Rattus norvegicus: one gene and its partners. The protein of the gene in region 2 interacts with the protein of the main gene of each other region in a pairwise test. Links are inferred from orthologs where the notes say so. Each region holds a gene or a part of one and is shown on either strand. Other genes may lie near its edges.

Region 1 (5,167 bases), on a different chromosome or scaffold from region 2:
GTTGAGCTGCATCTTAATTTTTTTTAAATAAAGGTCAAACTATACCCAAGTGGTGGCAGCAGCAGCAATAGCACCATATGCCTTTAATCCCAGCAGAGGCAGGCGGATCTCAAGTTCAGTGCCATCCTGGTCTACAGATCAAGAGTAACAGGCGTGGCTACACAGAGAAAGTCATAAGAAAGAAGGGGGGAAAAAAAGGTCAAACTATGAAAAAGTTATAGTATACACAGCTATTTTCATATAGTAAGGAAGTAAATGGTAAGTATATGATGATAGTTTTCTAAAACAAATTTAAAATATTTATGCCTCTTAATAGCTTACTCTGTAGCTCTTTAAAACTCAGTCCCTCAACTGGAGATATAGCCCAGGGGTAGAGCACATGCCCAAGCTGTTTACAGCCCAAGGTTTGACAGGGAGTAGGAGGGATGTGACAGGGACATGTCACATGCTCATGCACATACACAAAACCTAGTTCTTCACATTTTTTAATCTTCCAAATCTGAATTAAGTCATACCCAAAGGATCTGTTCAATACCACGGTTTGAGGGAAAAAAAATGCAATATGCAAGACTCGGTAGAATAGAAATAATCATAGGAAAAGTAAAACTGCAAAATGCATTCAAATGATTTACTTGCACTTTAAAAATTGACTTTTAGTTTAAATTACTATTATGATCTATGTAAATTATGTTATTTTCTAGGCTGAGGTTTTTTAAACATGTTAAAGGTCACAGCATCGGGCTAGAGAGATGGCTCAATGGTTAAGAGCACTGACAGCTCTTCCCAAGGTCCTGAGTTCAAATCCCAGCAACCACATGGTGGCTCACAACCATCTGTAATGAGATCTGATATCCTCTTCTGGTGTTGGTGTGCATATATATAATAAATAAACAAATACTTTAAAAAACCACAACATAAATCTTAGAAGAGACTCACAACACATGCAATTTGATAAGAATCTGGCTCCTATTAAAACCCAAGAGCCTAGGCTGAACCAATAGCTCAGGGCCTCTGAGCATGTTGTGTTCTAGCAGAGGAAGAAAGCTGGGTTCCCAGTACCACACCAGGTAGCTCACAACCACTTCTAACTCAGCTCCAAAACATCCAGTGAGTGCCCTCTTCTGTGGGCACCTTCACTCCCATACCTGTACCTATGCACAGACATACACATAATTGATTAAAAATAAAATCTTAAAAGTACATATAAATAATACAAAATTAAATAAAAATGAAGAAAACAAGGATGCTTGAATATAAAAATGCTTTACTCCTGGGCTACACAGCAAGACCCTGACCTCTACATCCCACAAACAAAACAACAGAAAAGCACTTCAGCTCTACGAACTGTATATAGAGTATAAATGTGACTCTTACCCTACTTCATGTTAAACTGGCTAATTTTGAAGTTTCACCCATGTCCCCAGCAAGGCGGATGACCTCAGAATTATTTTTCTCATCTCAGGTAGGTTCTAACTCGACATTCCTTCTGTCGGTTTGGACATTCTTACATAAACAGCACACAAGCTGAACAGCAATATGCTCAAAATACTTCATCTTCTATCTTCATTTCCATATTTTATTTTTTGGTTAGCTGTGATGCTACCCACATCTCTCCCTGTATCTGAGCTTCCTCTTACCTCACTCCTAAACTTGTATCCACCGAGTCTGGGTTTTGTCTTCTTTGAAATCTCTCACGTCTACATCATTCTTTGCCTTTTCAAGCTTCTTGGTCTCCCAACCAAACTTGTTTTCTCATCCTTCTATAAGCCTTGAACTCCGCCCTTTGCACTTTTTCTTACATTCCTTCTCCTATATGAACTTTCCACCTTAACTATCCCAACCCAAACTCTTCAAAACAACACAGTGGCTCTTTCCCCACTAAATGTGCTGACCACGTAGTTCTAGAGTCTGTCCTCTGCTCCTAACAACAGCATTATGTACATTCAATTGTTTGTTTAGCAACTTAATCAAGTGGTAACTTACAACAAGCTTTTAAAATATTTTTATCAGTTCTTTGAAAATGTTAATCTGAACCACCGCCATCCCCCTATTCGCCCAACTCCAAGTCCTCTACTTTTTCTTTTTTGTAAAACTATGGCGTTCAATCTGGTTTGCCTGCCCTGATGTGTGGTTGACCTACCAAGGGTCATACTAACAAATGCCCTTAGCTCTGCTAGTGGTGGAACTACCATGCCCACCTCTACCCTATTGGGATTTCTGTCCGGATTGAGCCTGCCCAGGTCTTGTGCACACTGCCATAACTACAATGAATTCATGTGTTCAAAAGTCCTATTGAGTAAGCAAAATACTGTTCTTCAACCGAGATAAAATAACTATAAATGTTTGCCTCGTGCTGAGTGAAAACTCTCCCTCATAAATATTTACTTTTGGATGGCTGACTTATTGACATTACCTTCTTCCATTAAGAAGTATACTCTGACAGACAAACCTAGAAAAAAAGTGTGGAATGATACCACACTGTCATTAACCTATTATCAATGCTTCCCTTTTCATGGCCAAACCAGGGTTAGACAAAGAAGTCATTCTCAGTCTGTCATATGTTGGAATAACAAGTATTAAAGACGCAGAAGAAATCGCCCGAAGTTACAAAATAATCATCGCTTGAAGATTCTGGGAATGTCAACACTGCCCACATGGTCCTGATTAAAACCTGACAATGATTTGAAATTATTCCTCAGGCTGGTCCTTTGTCGGTCTTGAAAACTTTAGAGAGCTACAAAGAACCGGAGAGTTCCCAAGTCAATCCCCTCGAGACCTCTGATGACAGTACTAGCGACAGGCTGATCTGCAAGTGAAGGTTAATGAGTTTCAAGCCCGCCAAGGACCAAGGCAAATCTATCCTCAGTCCGCACACATGCAGACAAGGGTTGGGGAGACTACTAGTAAAGGGTCGGTGGTATGAATTAAAGGGCATTTCCAGTCTTCCAGATCAGCAAGCCGGACATTCCACTCCCCAGTCGGTAGCCCCAGGGTACCGCCAGGTGACCCTAGGGCGGGTCCCACGGTGCACAGAATCGCCTGGGGTCCCCAAAGCCCGCAGGCGCTCAGCCTTCCCGGGACCGGGAGCTGGAGCCCGCGGCGCCCCGCAGCTCCGGGTGCCAGAGGCCAAGCCAGTCCCCGCCCCTTCCCCATCTCCCCGCCCCGCGCTCCCAGCAGGACGCGCCGCCCGGCGTGAGCACCGCGGCCTGTCGCGCGCCCGGCTCAAGGGACCCGGCATCCCCGCCCAGCTGAGTCGCGCACCTGAGCTGTCCCCATCCTCGGAGACCGACGAGCTCTCGGTGTCCTCGTCTTCGGAACTGCTCCCCTCGTTCTCCGCGTAGTCCACCTCCATCTCATCGTGATGATTCGTCTCCTTCTTATCTCCTCGGGAATGGACCGGCATTTTCCAGCCGCGCCGTCGCTTCCCACTCCCTGCTCCCAGCCCGGCCACTGCCGCTCCAGAGAAGGGCGCGCCGAACGCCCCGACCCACCCGGCCGCCTCGCTCGCTCCGAAACCCTCGACTCCTCCCCACCCCCGGCCAGAGCCTCACAACCTAACCCGCAGGCTGTGCGCTGCGAGCTCAGCCATTGGTGAAAACTGTCCCTGAGCTGGAGGCGTGGCCTGCCTTGCAAGCGAACGATTGGTTACCCGTGATTACGGCGCGGCCTTCCGCTGAATGTCGGGAGTTGTAGTCCTTAGGCCTCAGAGCTTCACGGGCTGTGGGTTTCTAAGGTTCAACTGCCTCAATCACTTTTAACTTCGGACTTCAAGTCCCACAAGGCAGGAAAGCTGGCATACTGGAACGCAGTTTATAAACTAAACAGAAACAGATTGCGCGGATTTGGTCTGTACTTATCCTTTTCCCGCCAATTGGTTATTTAATCTGCCCAGCTACTCAAAATGTGAAAAGAATGTGAAAAGGTCCTTTGCTTGAAAAGGTTTTTGCACACTCTATGAGCATGGAGGGCTGCAGAATCGTCTCTTCTACATTAGTATTACTTTTATTACGGCTAATAAACTTAAATTGAAATGTAGATGTAGGAAATAATTCGTACTTTGTAAATTTTCACAGAGAAATTATAATTGTTCTTGAAATTTTTTCAACCAAAAAAATAGAGGGAAAGGAAGTTTTAGTATTTCAATTTTGCATTCTTACATTTTTTTTTTTAATGGAAGAAGCTACCCGTTGATTTAATTTCAGGTTCCGATGAAAAATTAATGTTTGACTTAAAAAGGTGTCTTTTTTTTTTTCAAAGATAGGATTACACAGACAAGGATGACGCTGTAACTACCATAATAATCGTAACTTATAACTGACCACTTTCACTCATTATCAGGTTATCTTGGTAAGTTCACTGTGTGGGTTAGATGAGTTGATTTTTTTTGTCAACAAAATATATGGTTCAAGTATTAAAGGGACATCAGGAAGTAGAATGAAGCTTAGTTGTTCTGGAACTTGCTCTGTAGATTGACCTTGGCTCAGAGATCTGCTTGGCCCTGTCTCTTGGGATTAAACCACACCTTGACTTAAATTTAGCTGAGTAGGATCTGTTATAGCCTAGAACATAGATTCTACTCCCCGGTGCCCCTTTAAATATTTTTCCTTTCTCAGCTTGCTCCTTTTCTTACAGGTTCAGAGGTTCTGTCCATTACCACCAAGGCGGGAGCAGAGCTGAGAGTTCTTCATCCTCATCTGAAGGCTGCTAGGAGACTGGCTTCCAGGGAGCTAGGGTGAGGGTCTTAAAGACCACGCCCATAATGACACACTTCCTCTAATATGACCACACCTACTCCGACAGGGCCACAGCTCCTAAAAGTGCCACACCTTGGGCCAAGCATATTCAAACCATCACCACCACCACCATTTCCCGCATTTCAGATGCTCTCGTGCTCCCAGACAATGACTACGATCTGTACTTAGTCCTTTTTTTCTTCTTCTTTTCCTACCAGGCTATATTCAGCCACCGTGGGCTACCTATAGGACTGTGAGTTCCTTGAAAGCAAGGGTTGTTTTAATCAAGTGTGAAAATACAAGGCAAAGCACAGCTACTGTGTGTGGGCAGCTATTATGTTGCAACCTGCCAGTTGCTAGGATCTGAGACTACCAGCATGTTTGTCCAGACAGAGTCTTGCTGGTCTTGAGTTCACTGCATGGCCTCATCTTCC
Region 2 (5,040 bases):
CCCCCTTCACATCCCCTGGGACCCTCCCCTCCTTATTTGAATGCTATAGACAATGCCATCTATATTCTGAGTTAAAACAATGATGTCAGTTTCTTTTTGTTTTAGACAGTCTTGCTACTTAGCCCAGGATGGTGGTCAACTTGTGATCTTCCTGCCTCACCTAAATATTTCAGGCATGTGCTTCCATAACTGGATCAGCTAAGTCCTCCCATCCCTCCAGCCACCAGCCCTCCCTTCTCAAGACAAAAGAGAGTAGATTGGGGTTGGGGATTTAGCTCAGTGGTAGAGCGCTTACCTAGGAAGCGCAAGGCCCTGGGTTCGGTCCCCAGCTCCGAAGGAAAAAAAAAAAAGAGAGTAGATTTACATCAGACAGCCCCAGGAGCTGATGGGGGTGCCCTGGGATCGGGATCATGACATGAAAGTTGAGATCCTCGACATGTATGATATTGGGGTTCTCCTCCTGGGACACTGAACTAGAAGAAACCCAAGGTTACCTGACTTCAGCATGCTGGAAGTGTGGGCTGCTTCTCGGACGGTATCTTGGGTCATTGACAGCCGCAGTCTCCTGAGCCATTACAGCGTGTGGGTACTGAGGTGGTGGCCCACGGGGCTCCGGGCCCTCAGCTGGGGGTCCTCGGGGCTGGGGACCTTGCTGGCTGCGGGCCAGCTGAGGGAAACTGTGGGAAGAGCTCATGTGGCTGGGGACCCGGGCACCATTTCTTTCCAGGGACAGCTGCAGAAGTCGTTCACTCAAGGAGCGCACATGGCCGTGCCTCAACTCTCGAAGAGCCTCATCCTGACGTCGGCTGCCTCCTGAGGCCCCTCTAGGATCCCGGTCCCCACCATGCAGCCGGGAGCCTGCCTGCTGCGCTGCATAGTACTGCGAATGGGCTTTGGCTTCCTCATAGGTGGGCAGCTCTTCTCCCTTGCTGGGCTGTGGGCAGAGTCGGTACAGCCTGTTCTCTGCCAGGTGGGTCTCTCCACCCTGATGCTCCTGGCCCTGGGGCTCCTGCCTGGTGGCCTGCTGTAGCACCTGACTGTCCTCGGGTGCTCCGATCTCCAGGGAGGCCTGGGGGCTCCCTGTGCCCCCAGCTCCAGCCCCACCCCGCAGGGCCTGCTGCTGGATGGCCAACAGAGTGCGAGTCTCTGTCAGGTTGCCGTAGCGCAGCTGCTCCTGGATGAGGCGGTGCAGGACTGTCCCTGAGGAGTCTTCCAGTGTCCTCATGCTTCTCTGGCTTGCACACACCTGCCTAGACAATGGCCAGCAGGCACCTGGTCTCAGAGCACCTAACAGACAGAAAGAATAGCAGTCAGTGGAAGCACATACAAAGGAGGGAGGGGCACTTGCCAAAACACTCTGGATGAAGGAGAAGGTGAGATAGTTGGGTGGTTTTACACAGGCCCAGATCCAAGTGCCAATATGGCCATCAATTGATTAAGTTTAGTTACTGAGCTTCTGATCTTAGTCTGCCGTGTGTGTGTGTGTGTGTGTGTGTGTGTGTGTGTGTGTGTGTGCCTCTTGGGAGTTGAAATGTAAGAGGTAGAACGCCTGGCATGCTATAAATCCTTGGCAAATGCTTACCATTCTAAGGACATGTATGGAGACCACAGAAATACAACAGAAAACCTGAAGGTTATCTAATAATCACACTCGCCTACAATCAGCCACTACCCCCAAACGCTCTCACGAGTGACCCCAGGACAGGTGTCCATCAAATTCAACCACTTAAGCAGTAGGACCTCAGTTTACTCGCAGAGTGGCCAAAGACAGAATGTAGCCCAGTAGAAAGAAGCCCTAAGCAAATGACTCCATTGACTGTTTCGAATGAGGAGGCTTGAGCCACCATAGTCCACCACCCTCCACTGGCTTCTCTTCCAGGAGTCGGACCCTGGGCTGCAGATAAAATAAATCCTTGTCACAGATGACCTTCGCAGTCACTCTGCAAGGTGAGCAGCCTGAGAAGCTGCATGTGAACTGGTGAGGCAGAGGTGTGACTGCAGTAATTGAGCCAGCAAAATATTGATCCTCCTCCTCCTTTCTTCACACACACACACATACAAACTTAGAAAAGCCTCTACTTGTACCCTAGAGGTACACAGGGGATGACCCTCTGTATCTCTGTTGATATTAGTAACGACCACCTATGCCAGTTGATGGGGTAATGAGGTGAGGGGGAAGACGAAGGAAGGGCTCGTGGGGATGTGGCCCCTTTCTCTTCCGTGCTATCCCCAGTGTGCAGCCCCACTTTGGGAATGATGTGTTGGCAGAGCCCTGAATGGTATGTTGGTAATGAGCCCCGAGGGCACCCAAGCCGGCAACTAATACCCCCACCCCCACCCCAGCTGCACCCTACAATGTGTAAGACTTGAGACTGTTCGCACGCAGCTTTTTCTACGCGGCATTTCCTACGTTAATCACTGTCTGGGCTGACTCCCGCTAAGGAGGATCCGGGAGCGGCTAGAAGGAATGCAAAGCCTTCCCGACAGATTCCAGGCGCGCCAACTATGAGCCAGGCTCCCCGGGAGCACGGAACATTTCCGAGGCCTCTCATCACACACACGTCCCAATCTAATCCCCTAGATGCACAATCTTTCAAATTCTTAGGGTTGAGCAATTTCTAAAAATCAGCTTCCTTACTCGGACGTTGTACCTGGGCTGCTCTGGAACACTGCACTCGGAAAACCAGCTACCTTTCTAAGCAAACATGCTTCTCTGGCCTTGGCTCGGGCTCCCTCCAGCAAAAAGAACCAACGCTAGTCTCTAAGTCAGCCAGACCAGGGTTCCCGCGTTTCCCACCTCCACCGAGGTGGACCACTAGCACTGGTGGTTGCCCGAGTGCCCCGGGCAAGCAAAACCCACACCCGCGAGAGGTCTTTAAGCATCGCGGGTCCGCCTCTCTCCCTAACCCTCTTTGTTTTCCAAATACTTCAGCGCTGACGTCACCGGACTGGACAGCAGGCTGCATTCTTTCTAAGTGAGAGCCAGTTCGTGGCTCCGGAGAGGATTTTCCAAGGAAGACAAAGAGGAATTCTTGATCTAGCTGACGGTAAAAGCCACCTGTATCCCCAATCTAGACAAAGCAATCACGGTGACCCCGTATTCGGCGAGATATGCCTACAGCAGCTATTCACTTGCCCCGTACGAGACGCACACTCCCAAACACTGATCCTCTGTCCTTCCTCCAGCCCCAGTGGGTCGGAGAATCGTGTCCTCACCCCCACAAAAGCGCGAGCAGCCTAGGCTAGACAGACACCCAGGATCAATCCTCGAAAGGGTGCACAGTGTCCCCTCCCCGGGGAGGCTCCTCCACTCCAGCTCCGATCTCCAGAAAGAGTCGGGCTGATCGCGGTGTCCGGGTGCCGCTGGGAAGCGTCCCCGCAGGCTTCGCGCACTACCCGGAGCGCCAGGCGCCTTGCTTACCGCTGCGGCCCGCGGCTGCCGGCGCACGCAGACCGGGTTCGGCTTAGGTACGGTCGGCAACGGAGGTGCGCACTCGTCGGTGGCGCCGACGATCTGCTTGCTCGCGCCCCAGTGCGCAGCCTCTAGGTCAGCCCGCGCTGGAGGCGGCTGCTATGCCAGGAATGTGAGAGTTTCAGGTTCCCCCTCGGGATCAAAGCGAACCACAAATAACCTCTCAGCGCGCCGCCCTCCTCCGCTCTCCGCCTCCCCCCGCCTCCTGGCCCAGCCCCCGCCTTCCTCCGGGGAGGCGGCGCTGCGGCCGGCGGCTGGGCTGGCCTCAGCCTTGTCCCCTTGTGCCACCCTGGGCTCTGGGGCCGTACGGCATTCCCTGCCTTCTGCCTTGCTGTCCTAGCTGTTGGGGGTGTCTTAACCAACTGGTCCCAAGATCGCCCCACCACTGTCCGCACCCGGTTCTCACCCGTCATCCTTACATGCACCGAGGGACGACTTCCAGGGATAAGCCTCGAACGCCCGGTGGTGGCTGCAAGAGGGGTCTGTGGCTTTTTGGAGATGGCGGGAGGACTGCAAAGCACTTTACATCCGCCCAGCTTGGGCCGTGTTGCAGGCGAACCAACCGATGCTTCGGCCCGCAGCTGCCCAGCCTCTTTCCTAACCCCTACTATTTCACCCCCCAGCGGCAAACTTTGAATTGCACTTTTATTGTTTACAAACACCTTCGCCAGCTCTTTTAGATCCCGCCTCTACAGGAAGTGTGTGAATCTGGGTTGAAAATCTGGTGGATTTAACCCACTACCCAAATGAATCAGCCACTCACTGGGCACTCTCTCTAACTTCTCCCCAGCTCCGTTCAGCTTTAAGTCAAGCACAAGGCGGGTCACCACTTGCTCTTTACTCGGCCATAAGATTCTAGTCACTCTCCAACCGTGCTCTCATTATCTCTGTAATAAATAAGAAACCAAGGCTCAGAGAGTTTAATAACTTACCTAGGGTCACACAGAGAATAGCTGATGAAGCCAGGACTCTTTTCTTGGTCTTCGGAATCCGGGTACCCTAGCCTGATAAGGCGGGCCCAGAGAGTCTCTGCTTCCACCTACCTGTCCCCAGTTCCAATCTTTTCCAATTTGTCTACACCTAGCCAGCCCTCTTTGTCTTCCCCTTCTCTGGCTTCTGGTGTTCTACTTTAGTGTGGAATGGACTCCTCTGTCTGTCATTTCTGACTCCCCTCCTCCTCCCTCCTCTGGTTAGAGCTCCCGGTCGGCATGCATTCCTTCCTCAATCCCATTCACCTAGAATCGGCCTAGATTTCTGCCGTGGGCTGGCCAGGTCCTCCCCTCCTTTCCTCAGCACAGCGATCTCAATTCCCAACTTTGCTGGAGTAGACCAAGGATGGGAAACCTTTCAAACTCAATAGCCAGGGATGTGACTAGTTTTGCATAAAGCTTTCCTTTAAGAGTGTGTGTGTGTGTGTGTGTGTGTGTGTGTGTGTGTGTGGCGGGGATTCCTTAGGAGTTAACCACCCTTGCTGCCTTTACAAAGGATGTGCCTACGGGTCCCAGCACCCACCTGGTGGTTCACAAGCATCTGTAACTCCAGTTCCAGGCTATCTGATAGGCAGTTCT
Region 3 (4,975 bases), on a different chromosome or scaffold from region 2:
ACACTTGTCCATTCCCTGTTGGCCTCTGAACGTAGCAGTTCCTCCTAAGTGTCCTTTAAAATGATAAATGGGGCCCCCGCGTTCACCAGCAGTCACTGGGCGCTGCGAAATGCCTTCCTAAAAATACAGTCTTATCAGAGGTCTTGGAAGGCGTGGAGTTAAAACTACAGCAAATGGCCTTGAGCTCGTATTTGCACACAGCCCTGGAGAAACCAGAAATAGCACCGAGGCCAGGATTGTTAAAATGTGATGGGGCTAAATTTAGAAAGACGTACATTTCATTTAGGGTAAAAGACACCCATTTGGCAAGCACGAGCTATGTCAAAGCTTAGTTGGTCGTCACTTTCCGGCTTAAAATATCCTTTAAAAGAACCAACAAAACCCCTGTTGATTGTGACATTCTTAAACGCTGAGATTGCCCTACTTTCTTTGTGGCAAGATTATAAAATCACGTAATTAGCTCCCTTTCTATGCTCAACAGCCAGCAAATTCGGCAGTTACGTAACCTCACATTTCCAGGAATCTATTAATGATTTGTCTTGTGGTGTCTTTATTAAAAAAAAAAAAAAAGCCAATGACGATAAGGTGAGAAGAAAAAAAAAGCTGATGAAACGGTTGGGAAAAGTGGGGAGGCAAACGTCACAATGGCTCCTCCGGGTTTTAAAAATAACACCTCGGAACATTTAAGGAGCCCCCCCCCCCAACTCGCCCTCCCGCGCGCATTAGTGTCCAACACTAGGATTTCTCCTTTCTTAATAATGAATTTCATAGACTCGTTTTTAAAATATGCTTATTTGGGACGATACAGAGGCACCAAACGCTGCGCTAAAATGACCAAATCATTGCACACATAGGCGCACATTCTCACATCAGCTCGTCCTCGGTGCCCACGTTTCACCGCTAGCCCATTATGCAACGTAAGAAAGGACACATCCCTCCACCTTCCCGAGGGCTCGTAAAACACGGTGACGACAAACGGGTTGGAAAACGTCGGTGCCGACACAGCGCCTGACACAAACAAACGCCGCGCAGGCACCTCCGATTGCCGTCACCGTTCGCACTCCCAACCCTCCTAAGCAAATCAAGACGGCTCCCCAAGACTCAACCCTCCCACTGGCCGGCCCGGATTGGGGACTAGCGCGGAGAGACCCCGGAGAGCAGGGCACGTCAGGCTGCTAAAAGGATCGGCCTCCACTCCGCCTCCCCGGCGCGCTCTTCGCCACCGAAACATCAATTTTCCTGAAATCCGGAGACATTATGCAATAGCGGGGAGGAGGAGGGAGCCCGCGGCAGCCCCGGCTACGTGCGGGCGCCAGGGCGCTGCAATCAAAGCAGCTACCTTAAGGTGGCGAGTCCCCCTCCTGCCAAGGCAGCAAAAGTTTATGTAATGCATGCCCCGCGCACACTCGCCGCCTCCCGCCAGCCCTGCGCCGCGCCCGCACGCGTCCCGCGCCCCACGCCAGCCGGCCGCGCGCTCCAAGAGCGGGCACGGATCGGAGCTGGGCCCCCCGGGCCGCCGGTGGGCGGAGCGCTTACCGTGGTTCTGCTCCCTAGTCCGTGAGGAGAAAAGAAAGGGCAGCTGGTACCGGGCTGGCGGCTCCGAGACGCGATTCGAGCTCCACCCGGCCCTCAGCGGGTGGTGGCGAGGGCGCGGCGCGGGAGACGGGCGGGCGCGCCGGGTCCGCGGGCGCCGTGGCCGCGCCGAGAGATGTGTGTTAGTAGGTCAGTTCCGAGCGCCGCGCTACGTCGCCGCCCGCCAGCCCCGCCGTGACGGGCGGCCGCCGCCCCAATCGCCGCGCCCGCGCCCGCCCCCGGCCCGCCGCCACTGGCCGCGCCGACAGGGGCGGGCTCCCCACCGCCCCGCCCCGCCCCGCCCCGTCTTCTCCGCCGCGGCGCCACCGCCAGTCCGCGTCCTTCTCTGGCCGCGGCCGCAGCTGCTACCCTCTGTCCGTGGGGACCCACTCCGAGAGCTCTGTTGCGCAACGGGACGCACCGCGGAGCAACCAGGGCACAACTGGGAGGAGCCCAGGACCCCTTTGCCCATTACTGGCAGCGCCCTCCGGGTCGCTGCGCTCGCTCGGTTGTGCAGCACCTTTTTTTTTGTTTCCCGGAGAGTCACAGCCGGCTGGGCTACCTGTTGCCAATAGAACTCCGGGTGAAGGCTATGGGGACCCGGGCGTGGCAGGGACCTTGGCCTCCTTGTGCCCATGGTCCCTCTGAGATCGGGAAAGGGGCGCGGCAGCCGTGCAGCGCCACGACTGAAATGTTCCGCTCCTCTCGCGCCGCAACGGCAACCCAAACAGCGCTCCCGACACAATTAGGGCGAAGACGACCCCTACAAAGTTGTTGCGTAACACGGTTGGGAAACCAGGCTAGACCTAGTCGGTCTGCGTCCCCGACCACGTGGGGAAGTGGCGACGGTGTCCGAGGACCTGAGGGTCCGCGGTCCCCGGTGCGCCGGGCTGGGACGCCCACCCATCTTCGGTGCTCAGGCTTGAGCGAGCCACAGAGGGCACTCCCCGAAGCATCTTGAGCTGGTAGCTCTCTGTCGTTTCTGCTTCCAGTGAACAGGCCAGCTAGCCAGCCAGCCAGCTCTCCTCCCCGCCCCCCAATTCCTGGGATGTACAAAAGACATAAGGAAACGGGAGACAAGGCATCTGGCGGCGTGTTCTTAAGTCAGTCATCAGGTTGGCTATTGTAAAGGAACGTGGCAAACACTCCCCGCGTTTACAGACACGTAAAATTAGTGCCGGCCTTGGCAAAGGGAGCCATATTCCTGACAGTGACGCACGCGCTTGCCCAAATACGGAATGTGGCAGGTGGCGAGGTCCTTGAGCTCGGACTGTGAGATCTGGGCTCGAATGACTCCCTCACTCTACCCCCCCCCCGCCTCCTTTCTCATTTTTTTTTTTTAAGAAAGCAAACCCCAAAGTAAAGAGCGAGTGCGCGGGCCCCCACCCGGAACATCTCACTAAGTGGATCCCTTTCCATTTACCCCAGGCACACAGTAACTACACAGATAATCTCCGAGGCACACTGACTTAAGTACCATTCGCCGTTGGACTTTTGGACGCCTTCACAGGGCATTAACGATGAGGTCTAGCTGGTAAAATACCCCGTAACCAAATAAAGCCCCCACAGCACAGATAGGCAATATATGGTAAATCTCCTTTGGCGGGTTCCTGACCAGTTCAGGAAACACACCGCCCCTTTCCACTTTTTGCTTTGTTTTTGTTTTTCCGAGGAACTCACTGCCTTGATGTAAACGAGTCTTGACTTGGTTAATCAGTTCCACTTTTCTGGAATTTAATGATGTCATAGGATCCCTGAGTAGGTAGAATCGAGGAGTAACGTTTTTTTTTTCACAAAAAGCCAACTGAACTTGCCTGACTCACCCAAGGTTGCCAGCGGAGGAACGAACGGATGGCTGTGACCCACGAAGCTGTTCTTTCGACTGAATTTTGAAATCTGATGCCTGTCTTCATTCCCGGGGGGCAGTCCACACTGAGCCTCCACCACATTCGTGCTTCCGTCATTTGCCATCTAACTTGGAAATCAGAGGAAGTGTGAAAGATGTCTCTGATATCAACTTGGAAAACAACTCGTTAGCGCCGTCTGCTGCTTTAAAAATGCAGCTCAACAAAGTGTTGGAGGTTCAGTCTTCAGGACCTGGGGGATGATGTGTCTGGTGTTATACCCTGGGGGTCCACCTAGTGGGCAAGTGCTTGCAATTAGTCGAACTAGAAGAAAATCGAAAGATAAACCTGGGACGGGAGAACCTTCCCCAGGTCGCCAGTGTGCTAATTCCAGAACAGGCTGTAAGTAGGGTCTCCTGAATAGGAAAAGGCTGGAGGGCTCTAACTGAAGTACGGCAGTCAAGCTCAAAACGTTCTTACTCAGAGCGGCTGGTTCGTTTCAGAGCTGGAATTGGGTTTGGATGCAGGAGCCAAGGAGAGGTGATCACTTTTGTGCTTATACACCTCTGAAGCACTCTCTGAGCAGCCAATGTAAGGGGTGTGAGAGGAGAGCGTGGTGAGAATGTGGCTCTTTCTGAGAAAAGTTTCAGGGCGTGTCCAGCCAGAGGGTCTAGAGTACTCTGACCTAGGCATCCGAGGGGTTTTCCTTTCACAGCGTTGGGCATCGAGCCCAGGTCTAACCCTGGTTACACGACTTTAGCCTGGCGTCCAGAGGCTCTTGCCTTGGACCTTGATATATACACCTAGTACTTTATGGGGGTTCAGAAGGTGAGCCACCTGTGGACTCTGACACCACCGTTACCGTATCAGATCAGGGGGGCCATGGCTCCGAGTTTTCAAAAGTTGACATTAAAAATACCTGTGTGTGTGTGTGTGTGTGTGTGTGTGTGTGTGTGTGAGAGAGAGAGAGAGAGAGTGTGTGAGTGTATGTGAGTGTGTGCGTGAGTGTGTATGTATGTGTGTGAGTGTGTGTGTGTGCATGTATGTGAGTGTAAGTGTGTGTGTGAGTGGGTTTGTGTGTGTGTGTGAGAGTGTGCATGTGTGTGAGTGTGTGTGAGTGTGTATGTATGTGTGTAAGTGTGTGTGTATGTGTGTAAGTGTGTGTGTGTGTGTGTGTGTGTGTGTGAGAGAGAGAGAGAGAGAGAGAGAGAGAGAGAGAGAGAGAGAGAGAAAGATTCTGCTTTTCCATGTTGGCAAGGGATTGATTTTCTTTTACAATGAGATGGCTTAGTGGGAAAAGGAACTTGCCACCAAGCCTGACACCTGTGTTTGAGCTCTAGGATTCAAATGGTGGAAGGGGACAACTGAGACCTTAAAGTTGTCCCTGTGACCTCCATATGTGCACCAACCATGGTGTGGGTTTGAGTGGATGCACACACGTAATGCATCATAAAAAATATAAATAATAAATGTAATATATTTAAAAATATGTAAAGCACTGGGCTAATTGTGACTCAGTTGGTAAGGCGCTTGCCTATCAGTCGTGAAGGCCTGGGTCC
Region 4 (5,141 bases), on a different chromosome or scaffold from region 2:
CAAATCTGACATCTGGAGTTCTGTCCCTGGAAACCGCTGATGGATGGAAAGCACTGACGGCTGCCAACTGTCCCCTGACCTCCACATGCACCTGGCAACACCCTGTGTCTGTCTGCCTCTCTTTTTCTCCTTTCCATCCTCTCCTTCTCCCTTTCCTTCCCCCTGCCATATACACATATACACATACATGCTAAATAAATGGGGAAAAAAACCACTAAAAGCATTTCTTTTTTCAGAAGAATTTATCATGGTATTGGGTATTATGGAAGACATCTGTAATTCCATGTCTTTAGAGGCTGAGTCAGGAGGATGCTGACTTTGGGGCCAGCTTGTATTACAAAGCAAGGACCTATCTCAAAAACAGAAACCCAAATGACACCCCACTGTGATGGTTTGTATATGCTTGGGCCAGGGAGTGTCACTATTAGGAGGAGTGGCCTTGTTGGAGTAGGTGTGTTACCGTGGGTGGGAGTTTTAATACCCTAGTCCTAGCTACCTAGAAGTCAGGATTCTGCTAGCAGCCTTCAGATGAGGATGTAGAACTCTCAGCTCCTCCTGCACCATGCCTGCCTGGATGCTGTCATGTTCCCACCTTGATGATAATAGATTGAACCTCTGAACCTGTAAGTCAGCCCCAATTAAATGTTGTCCTTATAAGAGTTGCCTTGGTCATGGCATCTGTTCACAGCACACACACACACACGCGCGCGCGCGCGCACACACACACACACACACACACACACACACACACACACACACACCATTTAGAGAACCTACTTCAATCTGAAGTCCTCTGCGGCCAGCTTAGCATTGTCAATTTGCAAGACGCATCGGGCGTTTTCTATTTGAGCATCCTTAATCTGGGAAATGTGAGAGGAAAAAAGAATGACATTTTCCCTTTGGGAAGGAGTGTAAGGTAATTTCATTGGTCCTCAGAGACAACTGTGATTCCATCATAAGTGATGTTCGTTTCAAGAATGACCGTGGGAGAACAAGAGGAACAGTGACAGAGGAATTAGTGTAGTGGCTTGGCCTAGTTTTTTTCTGATCATACGAAATGAAAGCTGAAGTCACCCACATCGCTGGACCTTTTTGAGCGCCTTGTTTGTGACACTGCTCACACTGGAGCCTTGCTGTTAACCCTTCTTACCTGGTGAGCTCGAGCTCCTTCCCCTCAGCTCAGACAACACTGTTTCGAAGTCCCCCACCCCATGACATCTTCCAGTTCTGGCAGCGAATGCACCCCTGCTGCTGTTGCCCCCACAGCATCCCTGCATCTACCCTTTCAGTGATGGTTTCTTTGGTCCGGGCCTGTTTCACGTCAGACACTTCATGTGCTGTCATTGTTCGCCATGTGTGTTGCTCAGGACCCAGCCGGTGTCTATGCAGTAGTGGCTGAATGGGAACTTGCTGTCTGTGCGAGTTAGGCACAGGACAGAAGGATGGGTGCACCCTGGATCCATGTGCATCTTTCTCTGTGTGTGCGTATGCGGAGGTCAAGGGACAGCCTTGCATGCTATTCCTTAAGTGCTACCATTTTGGGGGGTGAGGCCGGGTCTCTCAGTGTCTTGGAGCTCACCAATTAGGCCAGGCTGGATGACCAGCAAGTCCCAGGGGTCTGCTTGTCTCCACTCCCCCATCGCAGGGAGTACAAGCACACATTCTCCAGTTTTGTTTTTTAATCTGGGGACTGAACTCAGGTTCTCGTGTTTCAAGGCAAACACCGTGTTCTTTAAGATGGATGAGAATTAGAAGTCTACTTCTAGAAGATAGTAGAGTGGCATATCCCTCTCAGTGGCTATTCCTGGCGAGAGGCCACTCGATAGGCCTCAAACTACTGGACACTGAGGGCTGTGCCTCAGTATCACAGAAAATCCCCATGTCAATTCAGAAGCATCGACCTTGTGAGAAGTGCTTAATTTGAATTTTGTGTTGTATCAAAAAGCCCGAAGTACGGTCCTGGTGATGAAGTAATGTGAGCACCATAGCTTGGTGGTCTGTAAAGTCTGAAGTTAAGCTGCACTGATGTCTGTCATATAACCCAGGAAGAGGCCCCTGGCTCAGTCAAAGGTCTTTGCTCTAAAGGGGTAATAACTTTAAGATATAAACAAAACCAAAGGGGAGGCCTTTCTTGATTAGATAAGAACCCCGGAGCTAAGCCAATGGTACGTGCTAATGCTGACCTCCTTAGTCAGGAGCAAAGTCTCCAACTCTTATGCCATTGCCTTTATAAAAAGGAGAACCCCACCTACCGTGGATGATACAGGAGCAGATGGTGATATGACTGTAATAAAGTTGAATTGGGGGCAATAGAACATTTCATTATCGCACAGATGCATTATAAAATGCTTATTGATAGTGAGGAGATAATTAAACAAGGCATTAAAAAATCCAGGTATCAGAATTGTTGCATGATAGCACACTTCTTTAATCCCAGTGCTGAGGCAGTGGAGGCAGGAGGATGGTGAGGTCCAGACTAAACTGGGATACACAGATCTTGTATCAAAGACCAATCCTTCCTTCCTTCCTTCCTTTCTTCCTCCCCCTTCCTTCCATCTATCCATCCATCCAATCATCTATCATCCAACCATTTATCAATCAGTATAGATATCATTAATATCTGTATTGTGTCCACCCTGGAGCCTTTTGTTATTTATTCCCATAGTAGGTTAATACTTTTATTATAACATTCATATAACGAAAGATGAAAAATCTCTTCAAGTTGACTTGAGTCTTCCGAGTTAGTGAAGACAAGTAGCAAACTCACAGAAACCCTGGCAGGTCTCTGAAAAAAATAAGATCATTCACAACGAAGACCTTATATTGTAAATCATAGACAAAGATATAGGCTGCGATCTTGGATGATAAAATGGTCATATTTTATATGCAATTAGGTTGAAGTTTTAGAAAAAGCATGGGTTAAACCCATCCTGTTGACAGATACCACGAGATAAGATGCATTTTTTCAGTTATAAATTCCGACCTAATCTGCTTCATGTGTTTGAATTCACCTAGCGTACATCTCTCTTAATCTATTAGGCAACTGAACAGTGAGGTAGAAATCACGGACTTCATGGCTCACCTGATCTTGCAGCTCTTTGATCTGTGCGTAGTAGGAACTGTAGTCCCGGATGGTGCTCGGTGCATTGGTTTCGTACCACTGCTTGATCTGGGCTTCAAGTTTGGAATTGGATTGCTCCAGGGAGCGCACTTTTTCTAGGTAGCTTGCCAATCTGTCATTGAGGTTCTGCATTGCCAATTTCTCATTGCCCCCAAACAGGTCCCCTCCGTTGGAGAGATGGTTCCCGTAGCTCATTGTGGTTTTGGAGACAGAGATGCGGGTGCCGTGGCCTCCAGCCCCACCGTAGACGCTGGGTGCAACCCCCAGACGCTGCATGGTCCCCTTTCTATACAGGGAGCCACTCGTGCTGAGTGCTGGGCCTTGTGAGGAGGAACTCAGACTTCTGTGGAAACTTCGACGACTGAAGTCCATCTTGATCCCGGGAGGCAACACCTGTAGCCTGGAGTTGGAGCACACAGCCTGTCTCACGGTGCTGTGGCGCTAACCTTTTATAGAGTTCAAGAGACTCCTCCCCTGCTGCAGTGTCACCTCAGAAATGACACAGTCCACCTTCCTACCTCCCCTCCCCCTCTTTTGTACGGAAATATGGTTTTATTCCATTCTAGAAATTACCACTAGAGGCACTTCTTAAAGGCTTTCTGGGGGTGGTGGTGGTGGTGGTGGTTTCTTTTTAATAAACAGAGGTAACAAAAAGGACGAGGAAGGGGTGTTCTTTCAGGTCTTGCACCTGCCCTGGCGGGTTTTTCCCTCTCTCCCCGTATACAAATAAAGAATATTTACAATCTATATGAATAATTTAGGCGCTGAACAAGGCAGCTGTGGGAGCATAAAGTAAGTCACACTGGTGAGAAAAGACAATGGCTTGTTCCAATGATGATGAATTTGAAAAGAAAACGCTTTGTTTCAGGCTCTTTAAAAAATTTTTTTTTATTTTTACTTTTAAGTTTATCCTTGTTTAGAACTTACGTTTACAGTCTATTGAAATATCTTGAGTGGAGCTGGGTAGGCTGGTGAGCACCTGTGATTCCAGCCGCTGGGAAGCAGAGGCAGGGGGATCAGGACAAGTTTGAGGCCAGCCTGGCTGAAGTAAGGAGTGAAGTCTAGCCCAGTGCTGTGTAACAAGACCCTGTCTTGAGGTGCACAAACCCACTCACCAAGAATTTGAGAACTGAGTATAGTCAGTAGGTGAATATGTAAATGAGTATCGGTAGGCGGTGGATCAGTTGATTTCGGAGTGTTTTTTTTTTAAAGATATTTTAAATAGTGTTTTTGGGTAATTTCATCCGTGAATATGCAATGTAATATCCTCCCAGACTCGCCTCTCCAACTGCACCCAGATCCCACACAACTTCATGCCTTTTTCATTTTTCTTTAAAAAAAAACCTGAATCTAATTAGTGTTGCCTGTATGACTGTGGGTGTGGGGCCAACTATGGGGGTGTGGACAACCTGTCCGTGGTCATAGAACCTCGTCCTGGCTCCCAGCAGCCTGCAACTGCCAGGAACTCCTAGGTTAGCCTTATTTAAAAAAAGCAAACTTATTATAGAAATCTTGCAAATATTTTTAAGTATTAGCATCTAAATGGTTGAAAAATGCTTTTAAAAACTGAAATTGTTGAGAAACTCCCGTTTTTAATACCTGGCCTGTTGTGTGTGGGAGCCTGCTTCTCCTGTCTGAGGCCAGCTAGATACCACCAGGAGACTCTGCTTCTGCCTTCCTGAGGATGCCTGCAGGAGCTGCCTCTTAGGACACCGATCTGTCCCAGATGCAGAAGCTTGTGTCACCTTGCAGATCAGTGCAGTGGTTCCCTGAGAGTGTTTTCCCCCCTCCCTTCCCCCTGCTGCCTCCTCCTTCCCCCACCCCTTCCCCCCAACCCTGGGAAAGAGAAAGAAGGTTGCAGGGTTATGGGACTCACACATAACTTCCCAGAAGTCGCTGATTAAGAGGGCAATTATTCTGAGCCCCAGCCATTCAGCCTATTGATTGGTTTGAGTAGGAACATTCCTTCTGGAGGGTGAATCCGTGTCCAAGCGGACTTTGCTGCTTCCTCCACACACCC

The links.
Region 1: the proteins of Amotl2 (region 2) and Brms1l interact in binary tests that used the Homo sapiens proteins (3 or more experiments, as listed by UniProt). The two-hybrid records come from large-scale screens. The link is inferred for Rattus norvegicus from reciprocal best matches to the Homo sapiens genes AMOTL2 and BRMS1L.
Region 3: the proteins of Amotl2 (region 2) and Nfil3 interact in binary tests that used the Homo sapiens proteins (3 or more experiments, as listed by UniProt). The two-hybrid records come from large-scale screens. The link is inferred for Rattus norvegicus from reciprocal best matches to the Homo sapiens genes AMOTL2 and NFIL3.
Region 4: the proteins of Amotl2 (region 2) and Krt20 interact in binary tests that used the Homo sapiens proteins (3 or more experiments, as listed by UniProt). The two-hybrid records come from large-scale screens. The link is inferred for Rattus norvegicus from reciprocal best matches to the Homo sapiens genes AMOTL2 and KRT20.

What each region holds. Positions count from the first base shown.
Region 1 is NC_086024.1:79,000,162-79,005,328, reverse strand, and holds the start of Brms1l (breast cancer metastasis-suppressor 1-like protein), read right to left. Parts: upstream 3,527-5,167; 5' UTR 3,404-3,526; coding exon 3,262-3,403; intron 158-3,261; exon of another isoform or gene 46-157; intron 1-45. UniProt on the Homo sapiens protein: Involved in the histone deacetylase (HDAC1)-dependent transcriptional repression activity. When overexpressed in lung cancer cell line that lacks p53/TP53 expression, inhibits cell growth.
Region 2 is NC_086026.1:112,181,095-112,186,134, reverse strand, and holds the start of Amotl2 (angiomotin-like protein 2), read right to left. Parts: upstream 3,510-5,040; 5' UTR 3,422-3,509; intron 3,313-3,421; exon of another isoform or gene 2,652-3,312; intron 1,288-2,651; coding exon of another isoform or gene 1,226-1,287; coding exon 495-1,225; intron 1-494. UniProt on the Homo sapiens protein: Regulates the translocation of phosphorylated SRC to peripheral cell-matrix adhesion sites. Required for proper architecture of actin filaments.
Region 3 is NC_086035.1:12,430,927-12,435,901, reverse strand, and holds the start of Nfil3 (nuclear factor interleukin-3-regulated protein), read right to left. Parts: upstream 3,527-4,975; 5' UTR 3,396-3,526; intron 2,574-3,395; exon of another isoform or gene 2,135-2,573; intron 1,739-2,134; exon of another isoform or gene 1,537-1,738; intron 1,518-1,536; exon of another isoform or gene 1-1,517.
Region 4 is NC_086028.1:84,886,760-84,891,900, forward strand, and holds the start of Krt20 (keratin, type I cytoskeletal 20), read right to left. Parts: upstream 3,527-5,141; 5' UTR 3,494-3,526; coding exon 3,083-3,493; intron 861-3,082; coding exon 778-860; intron 1-777. UniProt on the Homo sapiens protein: Plays a significant role in maintaining keratin filament organization in intestinal epithelia. When phosphorylated, plays a role in the secretion of mucin in the small intestine.